Linked DNA regions of Oryzias latipes. The protein of the gene in region 1 purifies or fractionates together with the protein of each later gene. This does not show direct contact. Links are inferred from orthologs where the notes say so. Each region holds a gene or a part of one and is shown on either strand. Other genes may lie near its edges. The genes, in order: otud1, filamin-A and keap1.

Region 1 (4,342 bases):
TGCAGGCGTTTGTTCCAAACAAGCTTTCGGTTCCACAACTACAGAGAAATGTCGCCACTTAGCGGTTGTTTATGGTAAAACATTTCATTAAAACATTATGTCGTCGGACTCCCTCTGGTGGTCAAAACGCGAACGTGTAATTGTTGGAACAATGATAATGAAAATGTAAAAATATTTTTTTTGGGTTAATGGTAAAATAATGGGCACCATAAGCTCAGTATTTTAATATTTTTGTTCTCTTTTTTTTCCCTCAATGACAACAGATATTGTTGAATAATTTAATTAATTTCTCCATGTTGTGTAACCAATGTTTCCAGAATGTTCTTCCTGAAAAGATTGGATTACTTTTCAGCTGTGGGTTTAACTGACGCCAGTCGGATGTCTATTCCAAGCACGCAGATTGAGTTCCACAATCCACAAGCTCTGACAGTGTAAGTGTTTAAAAAAAGCTTCAGGAGCATATCTAAGCATTGACATGTCTGCCAATAATGTCCAATGGACATATTCACATGCACCAAATACTTTCAGCTCACAAACAAATTATGCTTTTACATGGTATTTTAAGGTTTGTTTGGATAAAAATTGACATTTTTATTGATATAAGAAAAAATACTTTTATTTTGCTTCTTTTAATGTATCAAAAGGTTGTGTTTTTCCATTCATAAGGCATCAATAATAAAAATTCATGAATTAAAATAAAAACAAATGACAAAAAAAATGTAAAACTTGTCTCAAAAAAGATAGATACAAAAAGACAGATACAAACAAGGCTTTTTAATTTAAAAATAGTTTTCTTTTTTTCTGTAACCCATTTTCAAATTAACTTGAGGTTCTGCGGGATTACAATTTTCCCTTATTAATGTTTTATTTAAAATGTTAAAAATAGATTTTTATTTTGTCATATAAAACTTTGCAAACCTATAAAACACCATTATTGTGAATTTTAGCTATAGATTTTTAATCATGAAAATGATTTTTGATGTTAAGTGTTAGGTAGCCAAATATACCATAACTTTGGGTTTAATTGAAAACGTTATAAGTACTAGGTTAGTAGTTAAGTTGGAATGTTAGAATCTGAAGGTTAAAAAATATACGAACTTAACTTTTTTCAAGTCTTTAGTTATTTATTTTTCTCCACTTACACAGTTAATAACATTTTCAACAACACGAGTTAGTCTGGACAATATAGGATGGTTAAGAAATGATTTTTTTTTTATTCCCGAAAACTCTTGTAACATTTTTATAATTTCTTTAACTTAAGATTTGTTTAAAATCATTCACAAAAATAGCATGAAATTAATAACAGCTATAAAAACAATCTACATAATATATTACAAAAATAATAATAAAAGTAAATGCAAATTAATAATTTGTGATTATAATCTGAGACAAATAAAATTAAAACATCCAAAAAACATTAAACGACGATGAGGGGTTTTATTTTGAAGTTTCCCAAACGGAACTGGTATTTTGTCCTCCGGGATTTGACGGGCTTTTACACTGAAGGGGTTTGGTTACAAACAGTGAAGCCTAAAATTAGGGAGGCACCCCAACAGCAGATGACGCCACACAGCTAAAGTGGACCTTGTCGTCGTCGTTGCGTGTCCCCGATAACAGGACTCGGGGCCATGGAAACGTTCCCCGCGAGTTTCCCGCTGTTGATGACTCCGGGGGTATTTTTAGCGCTCGTTGTCATCTTTTCGTAACTGCCCCGGCGGCGGTGTTCAGTATAAAGGACCGTTGGAAAATGCAGCTGTACAACAGCGCGCTCACACACTACCCGAAGTCGTCGCGGAAAGTTACAATAACTCTGTCTGCAGCCCCCGAGCGCCTGAACGGGACGCCGCGAACTTCCTCCGAGGTCGACTTTGCCCAACTTGACACAACTTCGTCAACTCACGCCGCTCCGCCCGCGGAGACTTCTGGAAACATGCCCGCCTTTTCGTGCTACGAGGCTGCTTCTACCAGGAGGCCGCTTTACTTCACCTCCACCGCCGAGATATTAATCCGCCGACCCGACGGAGTGCAAAGGCCGGTTCCCATTCACATCATCCGACAGCCCAAACCCCCCTCAGGCCGCCCCCACAAGCCCTGCAGTGACCCCGACCAGGAGACCATGGTGGACTGGACAAACCATCAGACTGAGGAGGCAGGCTGCACAGAACTGCCAGGAGGATCTGCTTTTAAGAGGAAGAAAACCACTCAATCCACAGTGGAATGTAAGGAGGAGGATTCTGGACCTTATAGGAGCAACGGATGGGCGTCATTCCATGAAGAGGAACTGGCCCCCTCAATGGTTGCCATGACGAAGAACTTCAGAACAGAGGATCTATTTGACATGAACAGTATGGAAAGTACACCACCATCAGGGCAGAACCAGACTCTGAAGCTCAGTGTCCTGCAGGAGTCGCCTCCGCAGGGGTCCCAGCAGAGAGACCACAAAGTCAGCCGGTACCTGGCTGAGGTGGAGAAGCAGAACAAGTACCTCCAGGAGAGGAACCAATACAGGTACCACATCATTCCAGATGGCAACTGCCTGTACAGAGCTGTGTGCAAAGCCACGTACGGGGACCAGACCAGGCACGGCGAGCTGCGGGAGCAGACGGTGCACCACATCGCCGACCACCTGGACGAGTTCAACCCCATCATCGAAGGCGACGTGGGAGAGTTCCTGATCAATGCGGCGCAGGACGGAGCCTGGGCCGGCTACCCGGAGCTCCTCGCCATGAGCCAGATGCTGAACGTCAACATCCACCTCACGACGGGCGGCAGCTCAGAGAGTCCCACCGTCTCCACCATGGTGCACTACCTCGGCGAGGAGGACGCCTCCAAACCAGCCATCTGGTTAAGCTGGCTCAGCAACGGCCACTACGATGTGGTCCTGGGCCGATGTCTTCCCAACCCAGAGTACGAAGACTGGTGCCGGCGCTCACAGATGCAGCGGAAACGAGACGAGGAGCTGGCAAAGTCCATGGCGGCCTCACTATCGAAGATGTACATAGAGCAGAATGGCTGCGTGTGAGGCCACAGTCTGTTCCTGATGGATGCTGTGGACTCTGCTTGGTTGCTTTAAATTATTATTCTTTTGTAAGTTTTCTAAGTTTGTCAGAAAAAAAGTGCAGTGCACATCGCAGACCATCTTTATTAGCACTTGTCAACTATTTTTCCATTTCTTTGTGTTTGTCTTTTTCCAAGTGGCACATAGCTGTATTATAGCTGCTCTCTTTTGCACAAAAGTCCTGTCAGACTCGTTTGGGAGAGTTGTATTTTGTGCTGCTTTCTTGTCATTTATTCCAAATGTTTGGATTGTTTTCTTTTTATTTTAAATGAAGTTTGTTGGGGAAAAAAACATGTTTTTATTTTATAAGATTGTTTTAACAGTTTTATTTGATTGTTTCCATAAAACTGTCATTCAGCATCGATGATCATGTCTTTTTAGTCGCACAACACTAATCTTATACAAACCCTCCCTTTAAAGTGCAGCATGGTGGGAAGAGATAAGAGATGCACGCTGCACTCTGATGCTTTGAAAGGTTAAAAGTTATGTTCTAGCTTGATTAGCTGGTGTCTTTTCTCAACTTGTGTAACATAGTTTCTTCAGAGCGGCAGGAGTTCAATAGAAATCTGCCTCTGAGTTGTGTGGCAGCATTTCCCATCATCCCTTTGTTTACACGCTCTCACAATAGCTTACAGTCCCAACCTATTATTTACCGATGCAACAAAAATGGCGAGCAATACTGGAGCTATCCGGCCTTACAGTTTGAGCCATATGCCTGCTCAGATGAAGAAAATGAAGACATACGTGGATCTCCTAATCTGCAAGTGAATCCATCAGATTGGACAACATATTTTCTACATCACAAACACGCTCTCTTTATAACAGAATTCTTTGTGTGTTCCTGATTTACAACAATAAAGAATAAAATTTATTCTAAAGAATAAAGAAATACTCAGAAATACCCATTTTAACTAAGTTTTTCTTTACAAATGTGCTCCCATCATCAAAAAAGGGCAAAAGAACATGTTAAAAAAACTGTTTTAATCAGAGTAGGTCTTTAAAATGGGAAAAAAAGTTTTAAAGACAAAATTTTCTGCAGAGTATTCAGTTACACTGTCACCCTGTTTATCCATGTTTTCCTAGATTCTTTGTTGCATTAAAGTAATGTACCATTCATTCAAAATGTGTTTTGTTTCCCTGTGGCAGATGACAACCTCACCGTGTTCCCATTCCATCCACTAGATGGCAGTGTAGGCTCCTCACATCTCACCACACAGATGTTTTTTATTTGATACAAATTAGGACGGAAATTAAAGGACTTCAAACTATAGGGATTAGAAAAAT
Region 2 (3,649 bases), on another chromosome or scaffold:
GTTGCCATAGAAACTCAGGCTTGGACCAACCACTGGTTACTGACGATGTCTGACTCCAACATGGCGGCATCCTTATCACGAAAAAATGGCAACTGACTTGAATTCATTTAGTCTGAGGCAGATGGAAGGCATTTTCTATGAGTTGCGTCACAATCACCCGCTCTATTTTTCACAACCAAAAACCGCAGTACAGTTCTAACTGCTTATCAATAGTCCTTTAAAATCTACCAGAACTCTTCTGTAGTTTGGCTTTTTCAAGTTAAATCACTTGCTGTCATAAAATTAGGGCAAATTAAGCCATTTTTAAAAGTAAATGTTCTTTTTTTTTTCCTGCATTATTTCTGCTTTCAGGTGTGGAACTGAACAAACCCACCTACTTCACTGTGAACACCAAAGGAGCAGGCAAAGCTAACGTGGACTGCATCTTCACCGGTCCCAACAAAAGGGATGCTGTTAAAGACTTTGAAATCATCAACAACCGGGACAACACGCACACGGTCAAATACACCCCCGTGCAGCAGGTAGGCTGAGAGGCGCATCCGATTTGCAGATCAAACTCATTCGCATTTTTGTTTTAGAAAAAAAAAATCTTCCAATTGGAAACCCCACTCATCTCTGAGAAGTCCATTGGACTTGGTGAGGAGATAATTAACTGATTAAAATCAGCTGCAAAAGCACACACTTGTTTCCTGTTTATAAACAAACCAGATCCAGGAAGACACAAATTGCCGTTGTTAAACATGCAGAGAGTTGGGAAGTTGCGTTGGTCCTATTTGTAACATAAAAATAATTTGGGGAACAATGCTAAGGATGAAAAACAAAATAAGATGATTTTAAAACATCACATCAAGAGCAATATAAAGATTATAGGCCCTGATGGAGACGAAGTGACTTGATGGTCGCCAATCATTATCATAGTTTCCCAGGTTTAAAGACATTTGGAAAGAATGTCTGGGCCAGTTTTCAACACTCAAATTCCTCTTTGCTTCAAGGCTTTGGAAGAGGGAGATAAAACGACTGCAGTCACTCTTGGTGGCATGTTAAAAAAAAAAAAGAAGAAAAAAAAATTACAAGATGGCTGATTTGGTTTGGATTTATCCGGTTGGAGAAAAAATGTCTAATCAGTTATAACTCCACAAAACAAATCTGACCAAATTTAGCATAAATGGATTTTATTTAACACTTCTGGTATATTTTTCTACTATTGCAGTGTTTTTCAACCTTTTTTGAGCCACGGCACACTTTATCCCTGACAAAAATCCCGCGGCACACCAGCATCCCAAAAAAAAAAAAAAAGCAGAAATTCATGGTCTGTATTGATCGACAGCTCCCCCCCCCCCGCAATCTCACGTGGATTTTTGTGATAATTGTGGCAGAAAAAGCAGGAAATTGCGGCTGTTTTTTTCTAAGAGATGAACCACCAGCTAATGACGAGCTTTAGCTGGTATTTTTGTTAGAACTGAGCGACTTTATCAGCAGAATTAAGAGCAAGGAAGTGAGGACTTTAACCACTTCTGATTGGTCAGACTGATGACATGTGATTAAGCCTTCAAGAATGATTGGTGGAGACAGTTAAAGGGGCGGGACTTTTCCTTACACAGTTATAGCTGCAGCTAAATCGCGGCACCGTCATTCTTATCAAAATGTCTTTAATAGAATTAAATAAACACAAAGAAAAAGTAATTTTAAGATCTTTTATATTCCTTACTACTCAGTGTTTTATCAGGGCTTGTTGGGATACACAGAGAGCTGATTTCTTGGAGATGAAAAATGTTTTTAGATCAGTGAATGAGGGCAATTTCCCACGGCGCACTTGACCATCTCCCACGGCGCACTAGTGTGCCGCGGCACACTGGTTGAAAAACACTGTACTATTGTAGCTCATTTATTCTCCATAGACGGCATTGATAACCCCTTTGTAAACTTTTTCCTCTTTTTTTCTTTTTTTCTTATTTTGCTTAAAGTCACTGGACATTATAAATCTCATTTGTGTATTCTAATCCCTTTTTACAAACATAGGACTCCTGTTTATGCAGTTTATCATTGCTGAAAATGCATAATCTTGTCTATAAAAGAAAATATAAATATCAACAATATTGTTTTTCAGTTTTGGAATGTAAAACAGTTTCATTCTGCAAAGCTCAGGAAAGCATTCCATCATATTAAATATGTGACAAATAGTCAAATATTTGTTTTGTGAATGTTTTGTATAGATTATTTAACATCAGGAAATAAACCTTTAGTAGCTGCTGAATCTTTTACAAGGGAGGATTTTCAAGCTAAGCTTAAGATTTGGATTTTATAGAAACAAATGTTTCCACGGTGACCAGAAAATAGTTTTAAAAAACACTATTAACTGTATATTTCTTGTTTCATTAAAATAATTATCCATTTGCTGTGTTAAGTTCTTGCGCTGCTTCATTTCCATCAGGGACCTCTAACTGTTGGTGTGACCTACGGTAAAGATCCCATTCCCAAGAGTCCCTTCAGCGTTCCTGTAGCGCCCTCCCTGGACCTCAGCAAGATCAATGTGACCGGCCTTGGAGACAGTATGGGCTTCACTTTTATTGATCGTTAATCTCACAAATTGGATTTATAGGTTCTAACTTTAGGGTTGTGCTTCATCATTTATCGATATTTACTGTAATTGAATTGTAGAGATGACTGTTGGCAAAGACCAGGAAGTGACTGTCAAATCAAAGGGCGCCGGCGGTCAGGGAAAGGTTGCTGCAAAGGTGACAGGACCATCTGGGAAGCCCGTGGCCAGCAAGGTCGGTCTTTGCTTCAGTCAGACTTTTTCATGGTGGTGTAAAGCCAATCATGAGATCCGGTTACGGATAAAATGCACCAAAAACCTGCGGTCCAGGTAATCCTGACCATGAGTGTTTAATTTTAATTCCCTGTGTCCTTATTTTGTTTCAGGTTGAAATGGGGCTAAGCCCAGAGACCAGCCAGGTGAAGTTCATTCCCCGGGAAGTGGGGCCGTACCAGGTCGAACTGACCTACGATGGCGTGCCGATCCCTGGATCACCATTCACCCCCACAGCTTACCCTGCGTCGGACCCCTCCAAGGTTGGCCTCAGTTTATAGAACTGCTGTGTTCGCACATAAATCTGCTGGGTTGACTTCAGCTGTGACTCTTTTGCCTGACCCCCTTAGGTGCGCTGCTCCGGCCCAGGCTTGGAGCGTGGCAGAGTTGGAGAGACGGGGGAGTTTGTCGTGGACTGCACCAATGCCGGTCCAGCAGAGCTAACCATCGAGATCATTTCGGATGGTGGCACTGAGGCAGAGGTTCACATTCAGGACAATGGAGATGGGACCTACACCATCACGTACATCCCATTGTACCCTGGCTGCTACACGCTCACCATCCGCTACGGTGGCCAGGATGTGCCCAACTTCCCCGCTCAGCTAAGTGTTGAGCCTGCAGTCGACACCAGCGGGGTCCACGTGTTTGGACCGGGGGTGGAGGGGAAAGGTAAAACTCGTTCGGATTCAATGTTGGTTTTAAAGTGAAACTGATTTCATTTCCAAATTTAAAGTATCACTCAGATTACCATTTGATGTATTTTCAAAGAGTTCCCAGGGGTCCTTTCATTATGCTGTTTTTAGCCAAAATCCAAAAACCTGTTGTTTTCTGGGACATAAT
Region 3 (4,206 bases), on another chromosome or scaffold:
TTGAATGTTATATGGTAATACTTAGACTGTGACTGAAACCACTCAGTTATGAAAACACAGTTCGGAATTTTTATCTTGTGAATAAAGTTTCATTTATTAGCTGCGGCGGGTGTTTAAAGGATAAGAATTTATCTGCACTTGTAACTTATTTTATGGGAATTCAAGAAAACTTCAGGGCTGTAACTACAATACTTCTTTCTGTCAATCATCACAAACGTTTCCATTTTTCTTGAGATATCTGCGGCTGAAATACAGTCGAAGTGGATGAATGTGACAGTTTTCTATTTTGTGCTGAACTTAATGTAGCGACAAATTTTTCATTACTGAAAAATATGTTTTTTTATAACACTTGTAATGTGAATTGTATTTTGTTACCTTCCTTTTCATTCAAATAATAAAATATTTTCTTAGGCGAACCATCACTCTTTTTGCATTTTGTTGTGTGTGATTTATGTGGTCTGAAAACACATCTGGAGGAGACATTGACTCACATGCATCCCGCTCTTATTGTCTCAGCAAAGCACAGTTTATCAGTGGGTTAACAAAAGACTTGGTTTCATTGCTCTGGTTTTGTTTGTCGTTTGATTCTTTAACAATATCGAAATTTTCCCAGATGCTGATTGCAGGTTTTTGCAATACTCCTGCAGACAGCAGTCAGGCTTTCTTTCCCACACTTGAACACGTGTGCAGAAATAATCTATAAGACGGTTGTTTTTATCTCTGCTGACAAATGAGCTTACTGACATGACTCAACAGAGGCTTGACCTTTGCAGCTGTAACTGTTGGCTTTTACTGCCACCTTGTGATTTCTTTTAAAAACAAGGCTGCTATGTAGGCTACTACCCTATTGACCCGGATTTCACAGTTTGCAGGAGTGAAAAAACTTGGTGTGTCAGCACAAGCCAAAATGTGTTTTGGTCCCATCTGAAGCAAGGCAGATTTTTTTTCTGATAAAAAATAATTGTTAGATAAGATGATTGCGAGAGAGCTGCATCATGTTTTCTTTTAATGTAGATTGGTTCAGAGATTTCTGAGTATGAGTGACATATGTATGTTCTTATTATAAGATTGAATTGTTCTTGTGTAGATGCAATGCTTATTTAAGAGGATAAACATATGAGTAAAGTATAACTGTAATGGTTGTAACAGTTTTGTTAAGCAATAAGTCACAATTTTAACTCAAAGTTAACCTTTTGGCCTGGTTTTCTTTTTTTGTTTTTTTTTAATTCTGAGACTCCTTTCCCAATAAAAGCCTACCACCCCCTGACGCAAACACGACTCATTGCTCGTCAATGGAGGCGGTCCCGACGTTCAGGAAGCATGCTTTTATTGTGAAGGCCAGTTGACTAGTACAATGCTTAGTCACGGTGAGTTACAGCCTCCCCTCCTCCTTCCTATGTGGCGCACAGCTCGGCAGAAAACGTTGGAAATAAGAGAGTACGTGAGTTGCCTTTACTTTACAGTTAAATTTTAAAATGTCCATCAGTACGGTTTTGTCAGTTCGGTTGAACGGAAAGTAGGTTTTTTGGGCGGTAAGACTGAGTACTTACTCTTTGTTAGCATGTTTGTAGCTATCAGTTCTCAGACGTTACTCCACTGTCTATTTTAGGGGCTTATTTTGCTGCTGCCGATAGCGTTACCTCCACCTCGGTGTTTTCTTCCAATCAATGAGACCGCGGAATTTTTTATCTTTTTAGACCTCAGTTTGGTCCACCTTCATCTGTGTTTTTGCTGTTGCATGCCAGCTCTGTGGCAGTTTCAGCCGAAAACAAGCTTGTAGTAAGTGTAGATGATGACCTTAGTCAGTGTGGAGTGAAAGCTAAACTTCGCGTTGTGTGAAAGTTCTTCTAGGAAAGGTGCACGGGATGGAAATCTAATTCCATCCCCGGGCTTACATAAGAACCAGCTCCACTTCTGGGTCGCGTTTTGGTACATTCAGTTCCACTCTTTCTGGCTTGGCGAATAGCTCGCAATGAGTCACCAACGAGGGAAGCTCTCCTCCTCCACCACGAATGCCAACAAAACACGTTGGACGCTCTTTGCTTGTCTTCGGCCTCGCCCCCTCCGCGTTGGCTGTTTCGCACAAAGTTTGGCGACGAATCTAGAAGTGAAAGTCTCTCCAAGTTGTTGTGGTCTCCACAGATTTTCTGCAGCTTTTTTTTAAAGTGACAGCTATTGATTGCAGGCCCGTTTTTTGGAGTTGCACCTTTTGTATGAAAGGTGCTTTATAAATAAAGTTGATTCAAATGGGGGTTCCCAAATTGAGGTGCAGGGGTTTATTGAACTTTTTTGTTACTAAAAATGACAATGCAACACAAACTCTCATTTTTTTGCAATATAAATATCTTGAGAAAAAAGTAAAATGACATAATAATGTTTATGTTATTGAAAATGTTACACTTTTTGAGCTCCTTGCTCATTTGGAAAAAGATTTGAACCAAAACAAAATGCTCTGAACACCAGCTAAATAAATAAGTTTACCCTCTCAGTTCAATACCAAAGAGATGAAATGCCACATTCACCAGACTGATACGCTAGCTGCTTGTTTGTGAGCGATAGCATGTTGAGCAATATGTTCTGGAATGTTCTGTTTTCCTTGTTAGTCACCAGGAGGAAGAAAAGTGCAGTTTCAAATCAGTGTCATAAAGTGTGTTTCGTGTTACTGTAAGTGTCACTGGCTGACTCCACAGCAGCCTTTAAACACATGACTTTTGATAACAAAATAGTCTTTTTCCTACTCTACGAACTGTAAAACACTTGTCTTTTTATCTCGTCCCTCAATACAACCTATGGTGTGTTGGTTATATAAGTAATCGTGTTAGGATTGTTGCTGACGGACTGACTCTTCCTATTCAGAGTTCACCAGTCAAATTGGCCACAGTCTGCTCTTTGTCTTTCATATCCCTGTTGCTTCATGTTCTGTAAAGGAGAAGTTGTGATGACAGTAAACTGGCCTGCATTCACTTTGTTGCACCCTCCACCCCTCTGTCATTTTAACATTATGCAATAGTCGAGTTGTTGTCCTCCCGTGGACCCGTGCCCATTCTGTCCTTGCTGACGTACTTTTGTCCAAACCAGCCTGGAGAGCAATCTCTGCCATGTTTCAGTCATGTTCTTGCCCCACCAAGCCTGAAAAATTCTCATGTTCATGTCTATCTTCATGACATGTAATAATTAAACAAAACAATGGGTTTGATTAACTGAAAATAATTAGTGTTTTCTATGTTCTTCTTACTATCAGCTGGATTGGTCACAGGATAAGAGTAAATACTTGTCAGCTGGATTTATGCCCAATTGAAGGTACTTTAGCAGTGTGTTTTTAAAGTCAAATATGTTGTTTTATTTTATATCTTTAATGTTAGTGTTTTTAGACTTTTGTTGTACACGTCTGTATAAAAAGTATATCTTTACAGTGGCATGTTAAAAGGTTCTTAACTGGGATCATGTGGTGACCACAGAATTTATCTGAGGCTTCCTAACACAAACCTTTTCTCTCCTTCTCCCCTCAGCTGTCGGCTAAATTCCCTGCCTGCTTGAAAGCAGCGGCACAACAAACGATATCCAGCTCTGGAAAATCTTAAGGAAGTTTTTTTTTTTCAAGTATAGACTTCAGTTCTTCCTTCTCCGTTTCAAAGAGCTCTCAGACCCACCAGTGACGCCTTTGGATCTCTTCTTGATTATCAAACAACAAGCAGTCAAACTGTTGGATTCCTACACATTTATCTCAACATTTGTTTTACTTTTAACGGTCATAGTTTAGCTTTGATCCATCTGATGAGTTGGTTCCTTTAGGGAATTTAACTGACCAACATAGATTTAATAAGAGACTTTCAGAGCATGATTTAATTGGCTACTGCCATATATTTCTTTTTATTCCTCCAACAAACAGGCATGTTTAACAGGCTTCTGTCAGTATCATGCAGGTGTGGAAAGACAGAGAGTTTTGTGACAAATGCAGTTGATCTAAAAGAAATCCCTTTGATTCCCGACTCTGTAGTTTAAACTTAATTACAGCAACATCAATCTTTAACTCCCATTCAGCATGCTGGAGGGCCAGTGTATAACGGCGTGCCCAGCTGGAACTGGCATCTCTCAAGCTATTTTCAATGTCATAACTCGCAGCATGACTCAGCTTGAGTGCTAAACAGAGCCAGGACATCTTCATGTGGTCATAAATAAGACTTTTGCAGAGACTAGGAAGGACAA

Evidence for each region.
Region 2: the proteins of otud1 (region 1) and filamin-A purify together in Homo sapiens (affinity purification with mass spectrometry; 3 studies listed by BioGRID and IntAct, with this or other methods). This does not show direct contact. The link is inferred for Oryzias latipes from reciprocal best matches to the Homo sapiens genes OTUD1 and FLNA.
Region 3: the proteins of otud1 (region 1) and keap1 purify together in Homo sapiens (affinity purification with western blotting; 3 studies listed by BioGRID, with this or other methods). This does not show direct contact. The link is inferred for Oryzias latipes from reciprocal best matches to the Homo sapiens genes OTUD1 and KEAP1.

What each region holds. Positions count from the first base shown.
Region 1 is NC_019878.2:19,217,478-19,221,819, reverse strand, and holds otud1 (OTU domain-containing protein 1), read left to right. Parts: upstream 1-1,456; 5' UTR 1,457-1,747; coding exon 1,748-3,022; 3' UTR 3,023-4,173; downstream 4,174-4,342. UniProt on the Homo sapiens protein: Deubiquitinating enzyme that specifically hydrolyzes 'Lys-63'-linked polyubiquitin to monoubiquitin.
Region 2 is NC_019865.2:4,648,998-4,652,646, forward strand, and holds part of filamin-A, read left to right. Parts: intron 1-351; coding exon 352-521; intron 522-2,431; coding exon 2,432-2,549; intron 2,550-2,658; coding exon 2,659-2,771; intron 2,772-2,922; coding exon 2,923-3,072; intron 3,073-3,159; coding exon 3,160-3,478; intron 3,479-3,649. UniProt on the Homo sapiens protein: Promotes orthogonal branching of actin filaments and links actin filaments to membrane glycoproteins. Anchors various transmembrane proteins to the actin cytoskeleton and serves as a scaffold for a wide range of cytoplasmic signaling proteins.
Region 3 is NC_019859.2:10,400,854-10,405,059, forward strand, and holds the start of keap1 (kelch-like ECH-associated protein 1), read left to right. Parts: upstream 1-1,318; 5' UTR 1,319-1,437; exon of another isoform or gene 1,438-1,441; intron 1,442-1,514; exon of another isoform or gene 1,515-1,532; intron 1,533-3,241; exon of another isoform or gene 3,242-3,300; intron 3,301-3,509; 5' UTR 3,510-4,206. UniProt on the Homo sapiens protein: Substrate-specific adapter of a BCR (BTB-CUL3-RBX1) E3 ubiquitin ligase complex that regulates the response to oxidative stress by targeting NFE2L2/NRF2 for ubiquitination.